Linked DNA regions of Cricetulus griseus. The protein of the gene in region 1 purifies or fractionates together with the protein of each later gene. This does not show direct contact. Links are inferred from orthologs where the notes say so. Each region holds a gene or a part of one and is shown in the gene's direction. Other genes may lie near its edges.

Region 1 (4,551 bases):
CATCTCAAGAAACAAACAAACAAAATAATACTGAGGAAAATGGTTCCTATATTTGCTTTGAACTCCATGCTCACATTTCCAGTTACCATGCCAACACCTCTCCTCTTGGCTATCACAATCATCTAAAGTGAAGATAAACCAAAGTAATAAGTAATTGACCAGAAGCAAATTCATTTCCTTCTGGTTCTCGAGCAGTGGTTCGTTCCTACCTCAGGGAGAAAGTGCCTTCCTTTCTCCCTCCCCGTCTTTCCTCTGCTTCCTTTCCAGTCTACCTCGGAAGCATATTGGTACTGCTTTCCAATCGCATCTCCAGTTTGACCACCTCCCATCATGCTCTCTGGGCCTGTGCACAACTTGGGACTGTTGCAAGAGTCTCCTGATCCCTTTCCCCTACTACCCAAGTCAATTCTTTGTGATACCAGCCAAGTAATGGCCAAACATTCTCCACTCTGATTACAACTTGCCCCTACTTAAACCTCTTCAGTGTCCAAGAGCTCTGTGTGAGCAGACCTTTTTTCCTCCCCTACCTAGTAATGTGGACACCAGGTCAGGTTTAATCATTTGCCACTACCCTCCCCACCCACCCACACCCTCACTAAGCCAATATCCTTAAATGTTAGTCAAACATTTATCTTAAAGCAGGCAGACAGAATTTTCTTTTAGAAAAAGTTTCCTTTACCAGTTCACTTCCTCTAGCCAAGGCAGAGTCAACATTCTAAAGATTTTTTTTTTTTTTTTTTTTTTTGAGTTTTGGAGACGGAACCCAGGGCTTCTCACATGTCAGGCAAGCAGCACTTTACCACTGAGCTATCGTCCAGCTCCTGAAATAATCTGGTAGACTTCTCATCAGATTTTTATTCTTTCTTCAGTAATGTAAGAGGGGAGAGGAAAAGGATGGGGAGAAGTGGTGAGGAGCCTGTTAAAGGGATTTTTATTCAAATAACAGAAAAGGCCCTTGTTTCTAAAACTGTAGTTGTGTTATGTACTAGTTCTTGAAATTTTGAAAAATTTCAGCCATCCAGGACTACATATCATATCATATCATATCATATATCATATCTCACATCCAGGCCTCTCACAGAGTGTTACTTTCTTATGGCTATAGTCCTTTTTGGCTGGAGTGGGCCCAGTTTACTTGTCAACCAGAGTTAGCTGACATATTTTCTATTGCATAAAAACTTACATTCTCGTCAACTCCCAGATCACTGGTTTCTCGGTCTGGCTCTGTTCCAACCTCCTTCTCTATCATTATCCTTGTCACACAACAAGCTTGCTCTTTAGGCTTACCCACAACACCAGGTTCACACTGCATGTGCTGCTCACTCTGCCAGGAATCCTCATCCCTCTCTCCTTTCATTAGTCCCCAGAAGTATCTACAACCTTCTGTCCTCAGTCCCATGGTTCATTCCTCAGCTGATACACACTTTTCATATTCTGCTTGGCAGTTCTTGGAATGCTTTCAATCAGTTATTTGTCTGGAGATCATTGCAAACTACTTGACAAATGTAATTTAAAGGTTAACTTTGGCTTACAGTTCCCAGAAATACACAGAGCATCATGGAATGGAAATCATGGCTGTAAGAGCAGGAGGTGGCTGGTCACACTGAATTTGTAGTCAGGAAGCAGAGAGGTATGAATATTCTATGTTGTGCTCAGCTTGGTTTCCATTTTATTCAGTTCAAGACTCGAGCCCATGAGATACTAATGTCCACACACAGGGTGGGTCTTACCACCTCAGTTAACCTTACCTAGATAATCCCTTACAGGAGTGCCCAGAGACTTCTTTCCATGGTGATTCTAAAGCCCATCGAGTTGACAATAAAAATGAACCATTACAGTAAACATGAATAAACATCTATGTGGTAGTTATGTACTTCACCAGATTGCTTACTTTATGAAATTAAAGTTGTATTTATTTATGTACTTTTGCTTTTTTTTTTTTTTTGAGACAGGGTTTCTCTGTGCAACAGCCCTGCATGTTCTGGAACTCACTCTGTAGAACAGGCTGGCCTCAAACACACAAGAGATCCGCCTGACTCTGCCTCCTGAGTGTTGGGATTAAAGGCGTGCACCACCACAACTGGCTATTTATGCACTTGAGTTTCACTTTGTTCTTCAGGCTGGCCTCCAAAATCTGGCAGTTCAAAAGATCCTTTGCCTCTGAGGCTGGAGAGATGGCTCAGAGTTTAAGAGCCCTGGCTGCTCTTCCAGAGGACCCAGGTTCAATCTCTAGCACACACACACAGCAGCTCACAATCATCTCTCAATTCCAGTTCCAAAGGATCCAATTCTCTCTTCTGGCTTCCTTGGGCCCCAAACAGGCACGTGATAAATAGGTATAAATGGAGACAAAACACACATGCACATAAAATAATTTCATAATTTTATTTAAAATAGCTTCTGTCTTAAACCTCCCCAGTTTTGAGGACCATTTAACGTGGCATGGTGGCACGCAACTGTAATCTCGGCAGGGGAAGGAAGACTGATGCTAACTCAAGGTCAACTGCTTTTTGGAGTGAGCTCCAGGTCTGCTATAAGCTGCCTGTCTCAAAACAACAAAAACAAAACGAACATAGTTTTTGGGATTTTTGGTTTGAGCTAGGACCTGCTATTTGTTAAATCATTGTTTACAAAATACCTAAACTGGCAAATGTTCATAAATTATTTCAAGCAACCTGTTTAAACAACCCAGCCCTATCACAGCTGATACAAGAAACAAATGCAAATAATAATCAATAGATGAACAAACAGCAAGAATTTAAAAAATGTATGTTTTGCTTACATGTATGTCTGTACACCATATTCGTACTATGTCTGTGGAGGCCAAAAGAGGGTGTCAAATCTCCTGACACTGGAATTACAGACCTTTGTTAGCTATCTTGTGAGCGCTGGGAATGGAACTCAGGTCCTTCGGAAGAGCAGTTAGTGTTCTTAACCACTAATCCATCATTTCTCTATCCCCTAAAATAGTATTTTCTTGTTTGTTTTTTTAAGACAGGGTTCCTCTATGTAGACTTGGCTAGCTTGAAACTAGACCAGGCTGGTCTCGAACTCAAAGATCCTCCTGCCTCTGCCTCCTGAGTGCTGGAATTGAAGGCATGTACCGCACTGCTGGGCTTCCCTAAAATAAATTTTTATAAGTATTACCTTTTTTTCTGCTTTCTTGTTTGAATTATTAAGAATATATTGCTGCCAGGCAGTGTTGATACACGTCTTCAAAGGACACCGCGCATAGGTGGTACACACAAAATAAATCTTTGATACCTTATGTCTTAAATAAATAAATAGCCCCAGAAGGGGGCGTGGCGAGACGCATGCAATCCTAAGCACTCGGGAGGCACGAGCTTGACGCTAGCCCGTCCGCAGAGTAATGCAGTATCAAATACAAACAAATTCAGAAAAAGGGGAAAAAAAATTCCGTGGTAAATTCAGAGGGCCCTAGATACCGTCAAGAAAGAGATTCCGACCAGGAACGAAAGTGATGAAGTGTTTGTTTCTAGACGGGAAAGCCCCGAGCAGAGTACGTTTTGGTGTGGAGTGAGAAAAGCACCACCAGCAACGGAGATGTCAGAGGAACCGGCGGACGACGCGGCGAAGCGGCTCCCGGCCCCGCGACCCCATATCATGAGCCTCGAGGGGCGACGCAGCGCCAGCCGCGCAGAACAACTCCCAGAGCACGAGGACACGTGCACAGGGAAGAGGCGGTTGAGCTCGTCAGGGTGCTGAGAAAAAGAGGAAGAGCGGGTCCTCACGTGCGCTGCACACTACCGGAATACTCAGCCGCTGACAGCCCGCACCCGTTAGCCCCGCCCCCGGGGCGGGGCTGCGCCGGAAGAGGAACAGCCCGCCGGAAAGGGAGTGGCCACAGGCTCGAAGTCCCTCGCGCCGCTCTCACGTCAGCAGAAGAGGGCGGAAGTGCAGACTACAGGATGCGGTTCCTAGTTGCGTTGCTCCTAAGTGTCGCAGTGGCGAGTAAGACCCCCCAGCCCCCGCCCCATCCCACCCTCTCCCTCAGGTTCTCTCGTCTTCACCTTGGCGGGTTACCACCGGAGCTGGCGTCCTCCTTTCCTGGCCCGACCCTCGGGCCATCTCCACCCTTCTCTCATTCGGCCATCACCGCTGGCATCTTCCAGCGCTGAGAAGCCAAGCCCCCTTCTCTTCTCCCAGCTTTTTCTTCCGAGGGCTTAACTGCTTTTTCTATTTCAGGTGTTACGCCGCATGAATCTAACCCACTCATCACCTCAGGTAACGATAATTCTCCGATTCAGTCTTCTAAAGAAAAACTCTCCAACCAGAGCCCCATGTCTCCTGAGAAGGAAGTGGAGTCTAAGCCGGGAGAGCCCGGCGGGCAGACGGATCAGAAGCAGCAGCCGGGAGAGTCAGGCGGGCAGACGGATCAGAAGCAGCAGCCGGGAGAGCCCGGCGGGCAGACGGGTCAGAAGCAGCAGCCGGGAGAGCCAGGCGGGCAGACCGGTCAGAAGCAGCAGCCGGGAGAGCCCGGCGGGCAGACGGGTCAGAAGCAGCAGCCGGGAGAGTCAGGCGGGCAGACGG
Region 2 (4,476 bases), on another chromosome or scaffold:
TCCTTTTCAACAATCAGAAATATGATTAATTTTCTGTTTTCTTTTTGCAGTGACATTTTTTTTTCTGTCTTTCAGCTTTTCAGTTAGGAAGCATTTGGGGCCAGGCTTCCAGGTGAGAGCTTTCTCTTCTGTCTTCCACTGAGGTGCAATCATAAGCAGATGATGCCCGTGCTGGGGGGCGGGGGGCTGCTCTTCTTTCCTTTTATTCCTCAGGGTTTGTCATGTTTCCTCCTCAATTCCTTCATTCCCTTCGCCACAGTTGTTCCCACTTATCTGACTTTTCCCAAGACTCTGGGCTTTTTCAAGCCTGTTATCTATTGTTCAGTGTTTGCAGAACTCTTCCCTGGTCATTACAGTGTTCAGAGTCTCATTCTTGGAATTGGACTTCTCTTTATGGTGATGACAAGCCTGTCTTCCTTAAGGTCTTGGCAGTAGTGAAGGACATCTGCTGGAACGGGGTGTCTGCTGGAATGGGGTATCTATTGGAATAGGGTGTCTGCTGGAACAGGGTGTCTGCTGAAACGGGGTGACTGCTGGAACAGGGTGTCTGCTTGAGCGGGGTATCTGTTGGAATAGGGTGTCTGTTGGAATAGGGTGTCTAGGGTGTCTGCTGGAATGGGGTATCTGCTGGAATGGGGTATCTATTGGAATTGAGTGGCTCTTCCTCCTCATTTCCAAGAAGTTTGGAGTTCAGGAAAGGCTCAAAATCCTAGTAGCAAAGGCTTGCTTGTGCCTTTGGTTTGTTCAGGCTTGGGTAGACTACCTCTCAGGCAGTCAGTCCCTGCCTCCTGAAGTCTGTGCAGATCTCAGAAATAGTTGCAGTCTCTCAAGTACTGGAAAATCTTTTTCAGACACAGGGACTTACAGAGTCACAAGGGCATGGCCAAGGTTACAGTCACCAGAGAGCTGCTGTCAGAGAACTGGCTGTCTGGTCTATTAAGTGGATTACTTTGCTCAACTTATTCCTTCAAGAAAGCAACCAACAAAAAATAAAAGATTTAAAAACATAAATTGCCATCATTCTCCCCTCATTTTCATGTTTATTTAAAACTACTGCTATTTTGTTCTTAAGAGCAGGTGGGCTCTTCACAAGCAAGTTTCTTGAAATCTACCTTCCCTGTCTTAGTCTTGTTCGAACTTCAGGGTGGTGCAGGCCTGTCATCCCAAGACTCAGGAGTCTGATGCAGGAGGAGTGTTGTGAGCTTGAGGCCAGCTTGGGCTAGATAGTGAGTTCGAGGCCAGTCTGGGTTATAGAAAGAAACCTTGTACTTTAAAAAAAAAAGGAAAAATAAAAAATAAAAACCCAATAACCCAAATAGTAAATGAGACGGACGCCGGGCCGGGGCGACCTCTGCAGACTGGACTAGGACCACTCCAGGTCTTCGGGAACCCGCGTGCAAGCCTTCTGGACCGCCACCTGCCACTCCCCGGGACGCGCGGTGGGCGGGGCTCCGCTGCCATGGAGACGAGGCCCTGCCCACAGCCCCGCCCCTCAGCGTCGATTGGTCGCCCTTTGCTCCCTGACCTCGCCGCCGGGCCGCCGCTTCCTGCCGGGCGCCGAGCGCCGCCCGCCGCCCGCTGCCGCGTCTTCCCGCGCCGCCGCCCCGCGCTCCGCCCGCCGCGCGCTCCGCCCGCGCGCCGCCAGCTGCCCGGCGGCCGCCCAGTGCGAGGATGCGGCGGCGCTCGCGGATGCTGCTGTGCTTCGCGCTGCTTTGGGTGCTGGGCATCGCCTACTACATGTACTCGGGGGGCGGCTCCGCTCTGGCCGCGGGCGCGGGCGGCGCCGGCAGGAAGGTGAGTGCCGCGAGGCCTGTGCGCCGACCCGGGCCTGGGAGGCTCCGTGCACGGAGAGTGGTTCCAGGCTCTGGGCAGGAGCCGCGGGGACCCTGGCCCTCACGCGCGAGTCAAGTTTCCTAAGGGCCCTCAGGCCAGGAGTGCGAGCCCTGGCCCTGCTCCGCTTACCAGGGACTCTGGGTACAGCGACTTGCCTCCTGCACGGGGGGCGCGAGCACCCGAGCCACTTAACGCCCTGCGCAAGGATCTTGGGGACTGTTGTCTCTATGGATCCACTGCGCTCTACTCCCTGTGCCGGGATCGTAGGGACCACACTGCCTGCCCCCTGCTTCGCTCTCCGTCCAGCACGCTCCAGGACCCTCATTCCCAGTTCCGGGATCTTGGTGATCGTTGTCACCCGAGACCCTGTGCTCCCTGAGCCACACTCCACCCGCACTCGAATCCCGACCCTGGACGTCCTGCTCCGGGATCATGGGGATCTCGGTCCCACCAGAACCTCTGTGCTCGAGCGATCAGAGGAGTCATCCCACCCGATGCCCCTCACCCTGCACCCAGAGGGAGTGAGGATGGACTGCGGTCCTGCCAGACCTTTTCTCCTACTTGCTACACTGCCCACCTCGGCTCTTGGCCCCTCACGGCGGCGGGAACTGCCTAGCCTCTTGCACTTGAATTTCCTAACCCCAAGTCCCTGTCCTCCGTGTGTGTTTCTGATGGATTCTGCGCTGAGGGCTGAGTGGTGAGGCTGTGGGGACCACGGGTCGCTTAGAGCTTATAGGTCCTGATTTGGCAGTCATCTCGGCTTGGTACCGGCCAGACACAGAGCGTGAGATCCTTGCCGGTGTGTTGGTTCTGTCTGCTCTGGGCATCAGGGGCTTGTGTTTTACTAGCTAATGAGCTTCAAAGCATAGTTATCTTTTCCAAAGCCCTGTAATCCTCCTTGCTTGATGTTGAATGACACACCACCACCGGAAAAGACGGGATGGAATAGACCATGGCTACGGGAGATAGGGGATAGGGTGTTGAGTAGGAAGGACTGTCACTGAGCCGACTTTACCCCTAGTCAGACCCTGAATGTCAAGGGCACTTGGCTGACTCCCTTTTCCTTCTGGCATCTTCAAGTTATTCCCAGCTGCAGGTGTAGAGGGAGGGACATGGCAGTATGTTATTCGGCTCTTGGAGGATTTTGTGATTTCGTTTTTATTTTTTGCAGTAACGAAAGTGAAACACTGTTTCTCTGTGTTTGGCTTGTGTCAGCTCTGCTTTCTGAATGGTTTGTGTGTTGCAAGCCCTTGTTAGTTTTTAAGTCTAGTACGTGTAGCTGGTGGCAGCAGCCTTTTTTTTTTTTTAAGAATGACAGTGGCTCTGAGCAGGTGTGGTTTGTACCAACTTTGCTTCCCCAGTAGATGCCTCCCCCACCTTGGGAATAGCCTGGCTGCTGACAGTGCTTTTTCCTATGCACACAAAACAAAGCAAACTGACAAAGGTTTAGATCAGCACAGGTATGTAGAAAGGCACCTGTGGCATTCGCCTTTTAGGGGTTATTGCCCTACCTCTAGGGGCTTCAGTGGGCAGACAAAGTGGTCCTCTGGATGCCTCTGAGGCATATGCTTTAGGTTTGAAGAAAGCCCAAGACCTCTTTGTGATCTGATGGAGACCATGCAGAAAAAAAGTGGGGGAAATAAACAGTTATACATGGATTGAGGACCTGGGATTCTGTTTTGTCAGTGAGCCATAAAATGTAATCCTGGCTGGAAATACCGTGGTTTAGTGGTCTGCAGGGGGAGGAAGAGGTATGTAAATGCAGTAGGTTTTGAAATTTCAGTAGTGTTCTCATTAACATAGCAGGGTGGACCCTGATAGAGGCAGAGGATGCCCCAAGCCATGGAGTGTCATCTTGACTCCCTTAGTGGTTTTAAACACTAGAAGGCTCCCCATGTTTAGTTCATCCTCATGATAAGAGAAAATGTGGCTGGGTGGTGGTGGCGGCACCTGCCTTTAATCCCAGTACTCAGGAGGCAGAGGCAGGTGGATCTCTGTGAGTTCGAGATCAGCCTGGTCTACAAGAGCTAGTTCCAGGACAGGCTCCAAAGCCACAGAGAAAAAATGTGTGGTTTCTTTAGCTTGTACAACATGAATGTGAAATATGATAAGGAGAGGAGTTATTGTAGGCTGGCTGCATTTCTTCTTGTGTTTGGTACCATTCATAGCCGAGCTCAAGTTAGTTTCTTCATGCCCTGGTGTTTTCTTTCTCATGGGGCCCCAGGCCTTAGGATTGTGCTTTGGGGATTGTCTGAGGGCACCCTGTTAGGATTTCTGCTGCTTCAGCAGCCAGGCCAGGCTGTGCACTGTGTGCCCTGCCTGCTAAACAACTCCTCTCAGAACTGCTGTTCCCCATTTAGCAAAACCCAGAAACTCAGCTCACCCCAGACTACAGATTGAATGAACTAAGGAGTTGAAAACCAACTGTCAGCATTTGCTGGAAAACTGGGGACTCAATACTGTGATTCCGAAATGCTGAGGCCCCATGTTAAAGCAATTTATGCATAATGCTTAAAATTGCATTTCATTTGTATAGGTATCTCCCCCTGCCATATTTACTCTTTCCTCCCTAAACTGATGATTTGCACTTCAAGAATGCCTTCCCTTTGAGCATCTTAAATGCTTTAAAATTTTAATCATGTT

What was found.
Region 2: the proteins of Tgoln2 (region 1) and Galnt2 purify together in Homo sapiens (affinity purification with mass spectrometry; 3 studies listed by BioGRID and IntAct, counting the BioPlex papers as one, with this or other methods). This does not show direct contact. The link is inferred for Cricetulus griseus from reciprocal best matches to the Homo sapiens genes TGOLN2 and GALNT2.

The regions. Positions count from the first base shown.
Region 1 is NC_048601.1:64,348,547-64,353,097, reverse strand, and holds the start of Tgoln2 (trans-Golgi network integral membrane protein 2), read left to right. Parts: upstream 1-1,571; coding exon 1,572-1,577; intron 1,578-3,500; coding exon 3,501-3,972; intron 3,973-4,206; coding exon 4,207-4,551. UniProt on the Homo sapiens protein: May be involved in regulating membrane traffic to and from trans-Golgi network.
Region 2 is NC_048596.1:200,924,516-200,928,991, forward strand, and holds the start of Galnt2 (polypeptide N-acetylgalactosaminyltransferase 2), read left to right. Parts: upstream 1-1,613; 5' UTR 1,614-1,671; coding exon 1,672-1,794; intron 1,795-4,476. UniProt on the Homo sapiens protein: Catalyzes the initial reaction in O-linked oligosaccharide biosynthesis, the transfer of an N-acetyl-D-galactosamine residue to a serine or threonine residue on the protein receptor.